Linked DNA regions of Astyanax mexicanus. Each later gene encodes a partner of the first gene's protein in a complex. Links are inferred from orthologs where the notes say so. Each region holds a gene or a part of one and is shown on either strand. Other genes may lie near its edges.

The links.
Region 2: the proteins of fgf23 (region 1) and fgfr3 are in contact, whole or in part, in a cryo-EM structure (PDB 7YSU), measured with the Homo sapiens proteins. The link is inferred for Astyanax mexicanus from reciprocal best matches to the Homo sapiens genes FGF23 and FGFR3. Residues at the interface, in NP_065689.1 of Homo sapiens: Ser29, Leu32, Gly33, Ser34, Trp36, Tyr43, Ala45, Ala47, Arg48, Asn49, Ser50, His52, Ile75, Arg76, Ser77, Glu78, Asp79, Ala80, Gly81, Val83, Val84, His117, Gln118, Thr119, Asn122, Gly123, Tyr124, Asp125, Leu158, Ser159; in NP_000133.1 of Homo sapiens: Glu157, Arg158, Asp160, Lys161, Leu163, Leu164, Ala165, Val166, Pro167, Arg223, Asp244, Leu246, Glu247, Arg248, Ser249, Pro250, Val277, Tyr278, Ser279, Asp280, Ala281, Gln282, Pro283, His284, Ala312, Gly313, Ala314, Thr316, Thr317, Asp318.

The regions. Positions count from the first base shown.
Region 1 is NC_064409.1:30,450,682-30,459,108, reverse strand, and holds fgf23 (fibroblast growth factor 23), read right to left. Parts: upstream 3,438-8,427; 5' UTR 3,220-3,437; coding exon 2,985-3,219; intron 2,857-2,984; coding exon 2,753-2,856; intron 1,611-2,752; coding exon 1,185-1,610; 3' UTR 696-1,184; downstream 1-695. UniProt on the Homo sapiens protein: Regulator of phosphate homeostasis. Inhibits renal tubular phosphate transport by reducing SLC34A1 levels. Up-regulates EGR1 expression in the presence of KL. Acts directly on the parathyroid to decrease PTH secretion. Regulator of vitamin-D metabolism.
Region 2 is NC_064414.1:26,189,238-26,196,701, forward strand, and holds the start of fgfr3 (fibroblast growth factor receptor 3), read right to left. Parts: upstream 3,062-7,464; 5' UTR 2,483-3,061; intron 1-2,482.

The DNA.
Region 1 (8,427 bases):
ATAACGGTCCTAATATAGAGCCTTGTGGAATTCCATATCTTACCTTGGTATAACTGGAAGACTATCATTAACAGAGGTTTAATTATATCTGGTAGTACCTGTTTTAATATTTTTTGTGGGAACTGCATCAAGTGTGCAGGTTGTGCTGTTTGAAGAGGAGATAATTTTCTCTAGTTCTAGCTGTGGAAGTGGGTTAAAGACTTCCAACCTAACTTCAGTAACAGGGTTTTGTTCTAGATTAGCCAGACCAGATGACAGAGAGGATGTAATATTTATCTGTTTAATTTTATCCCGAATGTTTTCAATTTTACTATCGAAGAAGTCCATAAAATCGTTGCTGGTGTGAATGGCTGGAATCTGAGGTTCAGTACCTGCCTGTTTTTTAGTTAATTTGGAAATAACTCTAAAGAGAACTTTTAAGAGAACTCCTAGTACAGCTCTCCCTGCTCTGCACAAACTAGTACAATTTTCAATTTATTTCATGAGTGTTTAGCTGTGGTGTAGTAAATGCTGTTCATTAGATGTGTGTGTAGAGTTTATTCCAAAATTTTATTCTGGCAAGAGTTTACAGAGCTTTGGGTGCAGTGTTTGCTTTAGAAGAAGTGTAAGACATTAAGCTTGTTGTGTATGTGGATTGAGCAGCTGTATGTTTAGTTTGGACAAAAGAGGAGATCGGGTCTTAGCAAACACAAAAACCTGTAATAGAAGCTATAATTGTCAGAAGTGGAGAAAGGGTTTAAGGAAGATGAGAGATAAAATCTAATGTACAGACAGGTTCCTGTCAGATGACTCGAGACATAGAACAAGAGGCACTTAAAATTCGGGAAAGTCCTTTTATTTATAAGGAAAAAAGCAACAGGAGTACAGTTTGTATTTCCACATGTATTTACATAACAAATGCATCCATATAAATACATAAATAAAAACTAATGCATTTAAATAAATAAATATTTGTATCAGTAAACAATTTCTGTCCTCATATGGTGTCCTGCACCAGTCTGGTTGATTCGGGTGGGAGATGGGAAATAAATACTGGTGTTTTAAAAGGCTTGGGTGCAAAATTACAAACAAAGTGAAACAGTTAAATCAACGCACATCTCTTAAGGTGGATCACCGTGTTTTTTTTTCACTGTAACTGGGCTACAGCAGAGACCACCTGTCTGATCCGACATGGATGAGGCACTTTAACCAGCAACTGCAGACATGCGCGGGCTGCTGGGGTTCCTGGCGTGCACCGCATCCCACGGGTCATCGTCTGAAGGAGAGAGCAGGGCTTCTCTGGACGTATTGCGATCCTCAAAGGGCTCCTGCTCTGCGTCCTCCTCCTGCACCGCGCGGGAGTCTGACTCCTCCTCATAGCCGAGCGCTCTGAGCGGGTCAGAGAGCTCCACCTGCCGGTTCTTTCTCTCTCTGTGCTTCAGGCGCTCCAGCGACACCGTGTTCTTCTCCGACAGGAACAGAGAGGAGCGGGGGAGGTTCTGGCCGGCCGTGTATCGATGCTTCGCGCCGTCCAGGTCGAGCAGGAGGCCGGTCTTGGGGGAGTAGTACACGTCGCGATGGTTCTCCAGAAGCTTGTGGTGGAAAAGACAGTCATCTCTATTGCAAACCGTCTAATCAGAAAAAAGAGAGAGAGAGAGAGAGAGAGAGAGAGAGGCATAAGTTAAAGGATTCGTTTTTTTTTCGTTTATTTAGTGACTTCCACAAAGAAGATTAAATAAACGTATAATAAAGTCAAAACATTACTAAAATAAATACACATATATGCAAAATTATTAATCTATTAGTTTTAAGAATGTTTTCCTAAAGCTTTCACAAGATTAATTTGTGTTCAGGGTTAAGTAAAGGTCTAGTGCATGATCTGCGTCCTTTTTATACATATTTCTGCACATTCTCTGAAAGCGTAGGCATACATATATACAGAAAGGAGCAACATGTTTTAAAATTATCGAGCAGAGCAGTTAATTGTTTAAGTGAACGCAAAGAATGCATTTAATACATTTAATGCCAAAAACGAAACGTTTCGTTTTTGGTATTAAATGTATTAAATGCATTCTTTGCAAATAATTGACATAATTATGCACACAGAAAATAACTTGGTAAGGTAAGAAGTATAAAAAGGTAAAAAGTATAAAAACAAAAAATGTTTGTTTCGTTTGAATGACATAATCTAAACCCTTCAATAAAATAAAACACTATACAGGTATACTCAAAATTAAACGTTTAACTTTTATAATGATATAACGTTGGACAGTACATCATCATGCATATATAATATTACCAGACCACCTGCCTGATCCGACATAGGAACACACAGAACTACACAATTACAGAACTAAACAGCAGATTTGGATGTGGTGTACGCGACCCAAGTACAGTTTCAAAAATAAATATTGGCTTAATTATTTTGGGTTTTGTAAGTCTTTGTCGAGGTAAAATTGATGGGGGATTTGGGTTATGTTGGATGTGTTGCGGCTTGGTTGGGTCTTTTTGTTGTTGTTGTTGTTGTTCCCAACCATTGTGTTTTACACACCCACCCACCATCAGGGACTCAATATAGCACAAATATCATTTAAATGCAGCACTATTAATTTTTATTACAAACCTTTCCGAAATCAGAAAAATAAAAAAAATAAAAAACTTTTTAAACTACTGCAAACTTTCATTGTAGGTCACTATATAGTAATGGAGTGCAGTCACCGTTACGATTTTTACGTTGCGAGAAGAAGGTTTGACTGAGAAACGAAATTCTTACGGAAGTGTAAAGATTCCCCTCTGCGTCCATACACAAGAACCGGCTACTTTTCACTCCGAATATTGCCACGCGGTCTCTGGTCTCGGCTTTCAGTAGAACAACACCTGTTGATGTAAAGAATACTAATGAATATGGAAAAGACTTATTGTCATCTATCTGTATTAAAACGTGCATTTCCCCTTATGCGTAAATATTAAAATTCTGAGATATAACACAAAAAATATGTACTTACTGTAAGAACCTCGCCGCGCACTTTTGCGTACATGACCATTCAGACTGATCTCCAGGTAGAAGTTGTTGAGGTCTGTGCTGGTCTGCAGGTGGATGAATCTTCTCGGGTTGCCCCAGTTGGTGCTCTGCAGAGGAGATGTGTTTGGAGCTACGTCCGCGGGGGCACATCCCTGCAGCGCCGCGAGCCACAGCGCACACAGCGAGTGCAGGTTCAGGCTGGGAGCGCCTTTACGCATGCTCACTAGCAACGCAAAACAACACGGTGCATGAAATAAGAAGAGAAGATCTTTCCTGAGCTGTTGTGATGAGTGAAAGTGATATTCCGGCTATTTAAACGTTTCCCGCGCCACTCCTTGCTCGTAGTTTTTTGCGCAACGCTCGCCCCCATGACAGAAACTGACAAGGAACGGAAGAGCGGAGGGCGGTTTTCTCCGCACACCTTGGTCTGTCTATAATGAAGTTAAAAAGCCGGAACGAGCAAAGCCATAATTGTACTGAGCACAACCTACTTGTGACTGTTACTGTGCCCACACGCCACAAGTCTAATTTCAGGCGTTTTATCATAGCCACTTTTACTCAGTGTTGTTTACAACAAACCACAAACAAGCAAGACTTCACTCTGGCATTTTAGGAAGTGATTTTCTCATCATCACTGACTAACCATCACTTGTTTAAAATCTTAACTTTTGTTGACGTCTGGAATACGACGAGCATCTCTCCATACTGACCAGCAGATGTCGCGTGTGAAACGCAGCAGTTTGTCAGCAAAAAATGCAGGGCACTTTTAAGCCCTCAGGTTCTGTATAAGCCATTACAACGTATTAGGTAACATTACTGGATATGGAATTACACATTCAGCCTGACCTAAGAAATTTGTATTGTTTTATTTTATGTAAATTAGGTCTTTTAACTTTTTTGAGTCCTGTATTGGAAATTTGAAATTGTTACATTAAAGAAAAGTTGACTCATGCTCATTAAAACTGAAATGTAAAAATGTCTCAAATTACCTTAAGGCAATGTAAGTAAGTAACTTTATTATGGTGAACAGCACAACCTCACTGAAAAAAAAACAAGATTTTATAAGCATGGACTATTTACTATTAACCATCATGACCAATCCGTATGTGCAGCAGGAACCTGATCCACACTGATCCACCAGTATGACCAGTTTAGCAGACTTGCCAATCAGGCTAGTAAACCAATATGACCAGAAAAGTTAATAAACTCAAATGAATATAAAAGTTCAGTCAACATTCCAGCTAGTATGTCAACAGTTTTTTTTCTTTTTACTTTTTATTGTTTTTCACTGGCAGCAAGTGGTAAAAAACAGGATAATATGAGTTTAGGAAAACTGGAACAATTGAAGAGAAAACAGAGATTTTCAACAACTGGTTTAGGAGCAGCACCAACTTGTACAGACAATCTTCTGTCCATCTGCAGCAAAAGGGGCTGGACCAAGGCCAGGCAGATAGAGAAGGACCTCTGCCATCCCAACAATGTATTCTTCTCTTTGTTGTGGCCAGGGAGGTACTTCTGTCCCTAGATTTTACACAGGACAACAACTATGACTAACTAACACATAAATCCCACACTGGGCATTCCAAACTTACAATTATACTATTACCTTCAGCTCAAATAGTATAGCATTATTTTGCTCATCACTTTTTGTGTATTTTCAGACAGTCAAGCATATCTCATATATGAACAGCTGCTATTTTCTTTCATATTTCTATAATTTGTCTTTTTAGTGTTTAAAACCCCAGTGTAAAAAGTAGAGACAATATGTGAAAGAAACAAACAAAAACAGAATACATTGAAATTTGAAATTCTATTTTAAAAGTTTTTTCAGTAAAGGCTTACTGTTTTTTTTGTTGCAAAACCCTTTATCTTGTAACCTTCCTTTTACACCCTTAACCGGGAAACATCGACTTTATTTTATAGTTACCGCCATATATCTAAAAAGGGGATCATAAAATGTATTTTATGTTTTATTTTCTTTCACTTATTTTAGTTTTTTTTTTGCATTTGCTCTGATTTTTATATTTATTACATTGTTTTAATTATTTCAATGTCTCATGTGGATGGATAGTAATCAAAGCACATAAGAGCTATGCATGTAATAAATTATGATTCAATTTGAAACAGGGGGGTTTACCACTTACCAGCTGGGTTTGCACTTACCAGCTGGGTTTACTACAGACAAATAAAAAAGCAAGACACTTACATTTTTTATGTCTGCATGAAATAAATTAGATGATTCAATATCATCTATATATCTAATTTACCTCATACCTAACAAGTGTCTTGATAAGCATGGAACAAGTCCAGATACAGATCTTATACAGATCTTTATCTATGTGATCAAAATATCCTTTAAGCTGAACCATGACCTGGGCGGTGGTCCAGCATCACTGGATGTGTATTCTCAGTTGAGAATGGTTAAATGAGGGTGGACTATATTCATTTTACAGCATTATATCAAAAGGTTAAAAATGGCAAAAATAGAGAGCCAAGTTTTCAGTCAGAGACTATTTATAGACGTCAAAAAAAGAAACATATGTTCCTCTACAAAACTAACAGAAGGGCCAGATTACAATTGCAACAAACATGAATCATCCTGCAGAATTTATGAAAAGGATCTCTTAGACGACACAATGAATAACCTGTAGCAGAATGAAGGTAGGAGCAAGACATTGACTGCCCACGATCCAACCACATTTTCTTTGATAGTGTCTAGAAAGTATTTTTGGTCAACATGCTGGGAAAAAATGAACAAGGCAGGATCCATCGCTTCAGTCACCCTCTTTAGAATAATACATATACTATCTTCATTAAATGTGCTGGGAAGTTTCAAATTTTTCTAACAATCTGTTAACATTCTCAGAATCAGGAGAGTGAGTTTAGATGCTCATCAGGACCAGCAGCTTTGCCATATGGAAAAGACTTTATTTATTCAAGAACATCTGCTTCTGTCAGTGGGACAGCATCTCATAGTTTAGATATGTTCAAAGTGTTAAGGAAACAAGCATACTCAGTAAATGACACTGTAGTGTGTAGAGTGTAGTCTAGATATGTGTACAATTGACGTTACATGAAGCAACCAAAAGTGGTACAGTTCATGTACAGTTCAAAAGATAGTGATAATTAAAAAAAATATAGCTAATTATAGGCCAATTTCTAATCTTCCTTTTGTAGCCAAAACTTTAGAAAAAAAAAATGTTTAAGCAGCTGTGCCTGCATCTACAAATCGACAAAACCATAGCACTGAAACAGCTTTACTTAGAGTAACTAATGATTTACTTTCAGCTCTTGATAGGGGCAGTACTGCCATCCTTGTACTGCTAGATCTTAGTGCTGCCTTCGACACCATAGATTACACTATTCTGCTTGATAGGTTAGAAAATCTTATAGGAATTAAAGTATCTGCCCTAACCTTCAGATCATATCTGAGAGATCGATTCCAGTGTGTTTATTTAAATAACGAATGCTCCTATCAGTCTAGAGTAAAATATGGTGTCCCTCAAGGATCAATACTGGGTCCACTACTCTTTACTCTTTATATGTTACCGCTGGGTAAAATCATCCGTAGGCATGGTATTAACTTTCACTGCTATGCTGATGACACGCAACTTTACATATCTGCTAAACCCAACGAGGACCATGCATTCATAACCTCAAGGCTGGACTACTGCGTTGTTGGCTGGAAGTCCACATAAATTACTTCATAAACTCCAGCTAGTTCAGAATGCAGCCGAGAGTGCTCACTAGAGCTAGAAAGTTCGATCACTTTACTCCTATTCTTTCCTCCCTACACTGGCTGCCTGTTAAATTTCGTATAGATTATAAAATACTTCTTTTGACGTATAATCCCTCAATGGTCTGACTTCTTACACCTTATAATCCGGCACGTTCACTCTGCTCTCAAGACGCTGGCCTGTTATTAGTTCCGCATATTAGAAACAACTATGCAGGAGGAAGAGCTTTCTTTTATAAAGCTTCCCAACTTTGGAATAACCTCCCTATTAATATTCAGGACTCAGACACACTCTCAATCTTTAAGTCTAAACATTTCTATTTGCTCAAGCTTTTGAATAATGTCTCATAACAGTTTCTGTAATTTTTCTCTTACTGTTTCCCTGCTAGCTATACCTCTTACAGCTCACACAGCAAACATAAACCCTGCCCAAATCATCTGCTTTCTCTTTCTCTCCCTCATGTCCAGAGCTGCTGCCTCCAAGTGCCCATCCCACTCCAGCAGAGTTTTATAAAACCATTCTAACCACTTTTTTCTTTCCTCCCCTCTCTGTTCTCTCTCTCTATCTCTCTCACATGTGCTGAGATGCCCGGCTGGCCTGAATGTGTCCAACTGTGGTTCCAGCTTTCAGGAATCAGCCCTGTCCTTCTACTCATCAGAATTACAGTCATATGAAAAAGTTTGGGCACCCCTATTAATTTGAATAATTTGTTGTATATATTTGGGTGTTTGAAACAGCCATTTCAGTTTGATATATCTAATAACTGATGGACACAGTAATATTTCAGGATTGAAATGAGGTTTATTGTACTAACAGAAAATGTGCAATATGCATTAAACCAAAATTTAACTGGTGCAAAAGTATGGGCATTGCGTTTGTGCTTGCAGAAATGGCTTATTTCTTATATGCAATTGGTCACCTTAAATACCTTTTCTCATGATTGGATGCACCTGGCTATGAAGTTCAAAGCTCAATGAGGTTACCAAACCATTTTTGTGCTTCAGTAAGTCAGTAAAAAGTAGTTAGGAGTATTCAAATCAATAAAATGATAAGGGTGCCCATACTTTTGCACCAGTCAAATTTTGGTTTAATGCATATTGCACATTTTCTGTTAGTACAATAAACCTAATTTCAATCCTGAAATATTACTGTGTCCATCAGTTATTAGATATATCAAATTGAAATGGCTGTTGCAAACACCCAAATATTTAGAACTAAAAATGATTAAGATTAATAGGAGTGCCCAAACTTTTTCATATGACTGTATTACACAACATTTCTAACTCCTGCTTTTTTCTCTTTCTTTCCTTTCTGTTCTGTCTATCTATTATCTATATTCATAAATTAGTGCCTGTTACCTTAGCTATAGCTCACATTAATTCTTTGTACTGTTACTTTTGTTCTGTTATTTGTTTGTTATTTGTTTCTTACTCTTAAAGCGAGTTTTTTCTTGCCACTGTGTCACCACAATAATTGGCATCTCTGTGGTGCTGCTCATAAGAGGTGTGGACCTGTTCTTCTCTGTAAAGCTGCTATGTGACAACTTTTGTTGTAAAAAGCGCTATACAAATAAAATTTAATTGAATTAAGATAATAAGCAATCTATGATAAAAGTAATTGGATAAGGCTATTACCATCTTTATGAGTAGACACAATGAGTAGACATGCCCAGTGTGGTGGGCAGCCTCC
Region 2 (7,464 bases), on another chromosome or scaffold:
CTAACAAAGTAGTAGCCCAAATTAGCCCTTTTCTATTCTTACAGCTATTTTTAGACAGATGCCACACACCCACACACTCATTCACACACACTCATACACACACACACCTCACAGTCTCTTCCCAGCAGGAAAAAGCTTGCTAGCTACATCAGACGCCTCACGGCTAAGGCTCTGTTGTGGTTTGTGTTGCTGTAGTTCAGGAGGGAAAATTAAACTAATGAGTTAGCCTGTGACATTAATCTATTAACACTCAGCAGAACTCATCCTCTTTATACTACAGCCTGGAGGACTGTAGAGCTTCCTGCACATCTCACAGAACTGACGCATGTGTGGATTTCTTGTATGTTTAAATGCTAAAAGCTAAAAAGCTCTTTTACATAAATCCAAACAAGAGAAATTAGTCTGTTTGGGTCAGTGGAGGAGCTCAGGTACTCTCAGGGAAAGCACTGTGAGTTCCAGACGCAATAACAATCACTTGGCTTTGACTGAATGAGGCACAGCGAGGTCCTAAATCACAGTACTGTACTATGATACACCACATTAATCTCCTGTACATGTACCGTACTGTAAAAGCTACTAGCTGACATAATTACAGCAAAATAATTATTTACCATAGGCTCCCGGTGCCATCTATATATACTGTATATATATGCATATTGGGTGTGTCTTTCCAACCTCACTCTCACTCACTTTCAGTGTGTAGTCATTCCCTCCAGGCTACCCTTTTCCCTATGTGTTTGCTTGTACGATATTTTGGTCTCATCAATAAAGGCTGTAAGGGCAAAATAACACTTCCTCTGCTGCTGAAAGTGGATTAATGTTGGCTAAAAGGTACAGTCACCACTGACACACTAATGTAGAATTACGTCATTAGAAAAGGTGGCATCTCCAGAGGGTTAATGTTTCAGTCATTAGACGTCTAAGTGGTTAACTGGCCCTAACATATCAAAGCATTAAGTAAAGAAGCTAGTGTGAATTTGAGTGATATCAACTCAAATACACAGTTCACTTGGCTTGAAATGATTTAGATGTTTGAAATATACAACACTGAGTGGACTATACTAACTATAAAACAAAAGTACATCTTAACTGAAGGTTTTTTTTTGTGTATGAAAGGTTGTTCAATGTTACTCTAATAATGAAAGTATTTGTACTATTCTGTGAGCTGTAAGCTCTAGGGTAGTTAGAGTTAATAGCTAGATATGTGGTTTTGGACGCAGCCTAAAAAACTCAACAGACCTGTCTGTCTGAGTTGAAGACAAGGAAATGAGGAAAAGGCACATGCTTAGCTAATCTAGAGCTACTACTGACTCATAAAAAAAATCATAAATAAATAATTATTATTATTATAGGTCAACCCTCTATGGCATGGATTATATTTTTGGGGAGAAACAAAACAGATATTTAGCAACTTTCCGAACTTTTTTTCAGACCACTTTTTTATTATTTTGATAACAAGCTGATTATTTGAATCACCACTGTTTTAACAAAACTGACCTATATAATGTTGCCCAATGGGAACAAATTAAAATACAAATAAATAAATAAATAAATAAATAAATAAATAAATAAATAAATAAATAAATAATAAATAAGGTATGGTACTGAATGGTGTAATAACAACCAAAATAATAAAAAAAATATTGTGCATAAACACATTAAAGAAAAAGCATTTGTCGCTATTTAATGATTTTATATAGACATTTTTATTTACGTATTTAAACATTGTTTTTCTTTTTCATTTGTTGCCTCTGGGCAACAGTATATGGTTAGACCACATTTGTTAGGGGAATAATGCCAAAAAAGCAGTGGTGGTGATATATATTTTTTCAAATATATATAATTAATGCCATAGAGGGCTAGTTAAAATAATAACAGCAACAAACAGGGAATAAAGGGAAAATAGAATCATAAATCGATAGATAAAATACATACAGCTCTGAAAAAAAATTAAGAGACCACTTTTCACTCAGTTTCTAAATCAGTTTATCTTATTTTTCTACTTACAGGTATATTTTTGAGTGAAACTACACATTGCTGTTTTATTCTATAAACTACTGACAACAGTTCTCCCAAATAAAAATATTGTCATTTAGAGTATTTATTTGCAGAAAATGAGAAATGTCTGAAATAACAAACAGTATGCAGAGTTTCTATTCAAATAAAAAGAAAACAAGTTCATATTCATAAAGTTTTAAGAAATCAATATTTGGTATAAAAAAACCCTGGTTTTTAATCTCATTTTTCATGCATCTTGGCATGTTCTCCTCCAACAGTCTTACACACTGCTTTTGGATAACTGTATGTCACTCCTGGGTTACCTTTATCTTCCTCTTGATTATATTCCAGAGGTAAAATCAAAGAAACTCATCATGTTGTCTCTTAAGTGGTGTCTTATTTTTTTCTCAGAGCTGTATTCTGTAATATAACGCTAGGTTATGAATCTTAGTGAAAATAGAGGCACAATAATAGGACTACTTACCCAAACTCCCTCCGTTTTCTCAGTAATCCTTTTTTTTCAGCAGGTAAAGCTAGTTAGCACAAATCACCATAAACAGTTCCTCCACGCGCACACGCACTCATAAACACACACAGGTCCAGTCCACCTTGCTCTGTGCTCGGTGTTCACGCGCTCGCTCGCGCTCAGCGCTGCGTGTCTCCAGCTCATCCAACAAACTTCACTCCACAGCAAAGCCGCTCCACGCGAACTCGTCCAAATAAACAAGCGGCGGCTAGAAAAGCCCCCGGTTCCAGTCAGAGGTCTCTCCGGGCGCTGGGGGACGCGGGGCTGAGGGGCTCCGCTCCGGGGAGGTGTGCGCGTGTTCAGTAAAGAGAGAGAAGCAGAGAGAGAGAGCTCCGTGCTCCGCGCGCTCCTCCTGCCTCGCGCTGTGTGAAAGCCTGCCCGCCTGCCACGGGCTGCCACTAACAGTTTGGAGAGGGATGGAGGGAGAGGGGAGGTTTATAAAAAAGAAGAAAAAAAACACGAGGGATCAGATTTCAGCCCCCGGTCCCTTCGCCTGCCTGCTGCTGCTGCCGCCGCCGCTGCCCCCTCCAGAGCTCACACAGGGCACGGGCTCACAGACTCACTGAGAGAGTGAAAGAAATTAGGGGGCGTGGTTTACGAACACGACCACGCCCCACGCCCAAATCTAACCACCCAATCTGCTCCTCTCCCTCTTTCTCTCTCTCTCTCTCTCTCTCTCTCTCTCTTTCTCTCTCTGTCTTCCAGCGCGCGCTGCTCCCTGTCAAATTAGCCGCGCGCAGCGATCCCAAACCGCTGAACTCCCGCTTGCAGCTGCAGGACCGCGCGTGCCTTTCAGATATAGCTATACACCGCGACCGCAGGAAGGTGCTGTGCTGAAGAATTCACAAACACAGCCTTACAGATAACCGCACAGCCAACAACTAACTGCGCCCCAGCACCAGCTCTCTGCTCTCTATTCTCGGTTCGGGGTTTGTGGCCTGAGGCTGCAGATGGTCAGTGAGAGGGAGAGAGAGTGAGTCCACACTCGCTGACCCTCAGCTCAGATAATGCTGTTATAAACAGTGTTATTAAGTTAGCGCTAGCGCTCTTTAGCCGTGGCCTGGTGTGGTCTGGCTATAAAAGTCCCAACGCCCCCAACCAGAGCTTTTAGTGCATTTAGTGACAGTCATAGGCGTAGGAACCGGGGGGGATGGGTGGGACATGTCCCACCCAATATTAGAAACAGGTGGATTTGTCCCCCCCAAAAATGATATCAGTTCGCTCAGGTCAGCTGTACTATTAATGAGGAGACAGACCGGACCAATCACGGAGCCGGTTCAAGTATTAAGTCACGCCTCTCAGTAGAAACAGCCAATCAGCTTGCTGGTTTTGCGGCGCGCGGAGCAGAGGCAGTTTGCTGTTGGGGAAGCCCCGCCCCCTCGCTGTGAGATTTAGCAGCGGGATCGGGACGCAGCAGCTTCAGCTGATTTTAAAACAGATATGGATATACGGAGATTTTTCTAAAAGAAAGGTAACGATAGGCTAACCACTTCAACTGTGATGATATGTTTCTGATAGCTGGTTAAAAATACACGTCTCTGAATCAGCACACAGTTTAAACCCACTGTGATTAATAAACTGCAGCTGTGTTAGTGTGTAAGCTTATCTTTGGAATTAGCTAGATTGGGAGTCAGGGTTAAAGGAAAAAAATAAAATATATATGTAATGTTTCCCTGTACCTGATCAGCTAATCACTTTAATTTTCAAACTGTTTATTCATTTAGGATTACAGGACTTACTGTGAGCTATAATGAACGAAAATTGATTTAACTAACTAGTTATCTAGAAGCTGGATGTAGATGATCGCCCGAATTTCGTACAGTACTTTAAGTTGGTAGTTTAAAGCAGTTACTTAACCCCGATCACTGCCCTAAACTAGTGTTTTCCACCTGATCAGCTAATAAACAGTCATTTACTGAGTTTACCTGTTAAAATCCTTTAGCCCCCTATGGAGCCTAAATTAATCATGTATATCCACCAGAGGAAGCTCTAGAATATGCAGAACAGTTTTAATATGCAGTAGAATATATAAGAACTGGGTTGAGAAACACTGCTGTAACGTGACTTCTGTTCATTTGTATTTCACAGTAAGACCACTTATCCTGACGTTTATAAAAGTCTGTATGAAACGTAAAGTTACATTCTTTTACATAAAAGGACACCATCTTAAGAAGAGCTCTCAGTAGAAAAAAATAAAAGTGCAGGAGAAAATGTAAATATACAACAGAATTGACATGCCAATACATAATAATAATAATAATAATAATAATAATAATAATAATAATAATAATAATAATAACAATAATAATAACAATAATAATAATCTGTTATATTATTTTAAATATTAGGTGATAACTCAGACATTGCTTGCATAATTTTTCTAACAACAGTAGCTGTAATGTGGAGTAACATGTTTAGGTTGTAAAATCACCTTATAATAATAATTTACTTTTAATTAAAAGTAATTTCCACAAATGTTGTTCTAGGAAACTATTGGGTGGGCGTGGGTTCATATTGGCAAATGTGTCCCCCCCAATATCAAGCCCGCTCCTACGCCCTTGGTGACAGTGATAAATTAATCTACTAGTCTAGCAAGCAGAGGCGTCATGTAAGGAGGTACAAATACTTCATTATTCCACAGTTAGTTCCGACACCGCAATGTGATTGGCTGGAAGAGATTCTATGAGTGCCATTATCAGCCGGTAATAGTCTGTAACTGAAGCGCTTTATGTATTGCTCCGCCACATACAGATAACCTAGCAATGATGCAGCTCCTCTGGCACTTAAACCCCAACGCATCCCATTCATTTCAATAGAGAGACCCACCGCATGCTGGGTTGCGTTGTGTTGAATGCAGCCCTGTCCTCAGGCAAAAAAATTCAGCAGATCTCAACTTTAGTCAAATGAGTCCGGCCACTATGTATGCTGCGTCCAGCCAATCAGGGAACAGCAGGCTGCTATGCCACACACATACGAGCCTCACACACACAGAACAGAAGCCTTTCAAACACAAAAGAGAGGCTAAAAATGGCAGAATATGGATTTATAGAACTATAGATTACAGTGAGGTTTACTAAAAATGTAAAATCTTAAACTTTGACTACTTGATTGACTACATCTGTTGCTTCATTTGAATTAAAAAAACATCACGGACACGCCCACACCCACACGCAGTGAGTCGAGTGATCCGGCATGGCGACATGCGTTAAGGAAAGTGCCAGTGGACGTGCACCGTTACAAACCAAAACAGCACAGTTACAAACAGAGCAGCAAAGGAACTATTTTAACTAGCTAAGAGTTTATAACCAAAAGTCAAACAATCATATTTTCTTGTCCTTTGTAACTCAAAATCTTTCAATAAACAGCGATAATCGAACAGTGGTATAATCACAATAATACACTCAAGGTTCATGCTACAACGTGTAATATTGGCACGTAATATACAGCAGTGCCAATATTTCATGTTAAAGCATTCCCACTCTTGCATTATTGCTTAATTGTTACCTTACTTAAGTACAAATATTAGTTATCTATACTTTACTGGAGTAAGTATTTTTCAGACAAAGTTTTACTTTTACTCCTTACATTTTAACACATTTATCTAAACTTCCTGCTCATTTAAAAAATAGCCTTGTTATTCCCATTTCATTTCAGCTTGTTCTTATTAAGGCTTGCCATCGTTAAATATAAAAAAAACTCTATCCAGATAAATAGCTCCATCCAGATCCAAGAGAACTCAAAAGAACTCTAGCAAAATATCCTAACTATGGTTTATCTTTAAAGTTTTGACTTCACCCTCAGCTCAAATTTGAACAAGACTTAAAAATGTGAGAGGTATTTTGGGAGGGTCATTGGTGATGTATGGGTTTAGAGGCAGGGCAGGAGGGAGAGCTGATAGGCTGAGCTGCAGCAGAAGCAGTGTACTTCTGATAGCTGTGAGATTTAGTGTACTGCTTGCTTTAAAACACAGCATTATTTACTGCAATCGCTGTCTAAGGTATTTTGCTTTTATGCATCTTTTGGCTTAAATATTTAATTCTGATACTTGTCATATTCGAACACTTCTCTCCATTCATCAAAGCAGCAATCTGCGCTTTTACGACAACAAAGCGGTGACAGTGATGAAGCTGGAGGAAAGTCCCAGAGATGTAAATTTGCAGACTGAGCTTTAGTTGTTTTAGTCAGTAGCCTGATAAAATGTGTTTTGAAGCTCAAATGGCAGAGTTGATACAAACGCTGACTGTAAATGAAATGGAGAATCTTTATTTACTGCATTTTTTTGGCATTCACAACAAATTCCAACTGATTTGAGTGAAGGATAAAAACACTGTGTTTAAATCTAAGTGTGCGGCTCAGTGCGTGCCTAAGTGTTTGTGTTTCTCCTCGTATCTACCTGGATCATAAAGCTGTCCCACGTGTGTCTCAGGAAGGCTGATTAGCGGTGTGTAAGTGCTGATGAGTGCTGTAATTCTGTAGAATAAGCACCAAACAAAGACTCAATTACTGCTGCAGCTGTAAACATGTTTGCACTGGGAGCTTTATGAGACCATAAAGAGGAGAAATTTCGTCTTAATCACAGGCACGCTGAGGGGGCGGGTGCTGTAAGAGAGAGAGAGAGTGTGTGTGTGTGTGTGTGTGTGTGTCCTTCAGTAGCTGTCCATCTGTATTTACTCTAGGAGAAGGCCCGTTGGCTCCTAAGTGTTATAATCAGCATGTAAACGCGAAGACCCAGAGAAACGCCCACTGACCTGACTCACGTCAGCACCTTCAAACACACACACAGTAAAATACACATTCTTACACACTGTTTTACACAGACAGTAAAATGCGTCACATAGTTTTAAAATAGCACAAACATATTTATTACCATAAACACACCCCAAATGATTTGTAGGGTAAAGTAAGGACCATTTTGTTGGTCCTAAGTTTACTGTAATAAT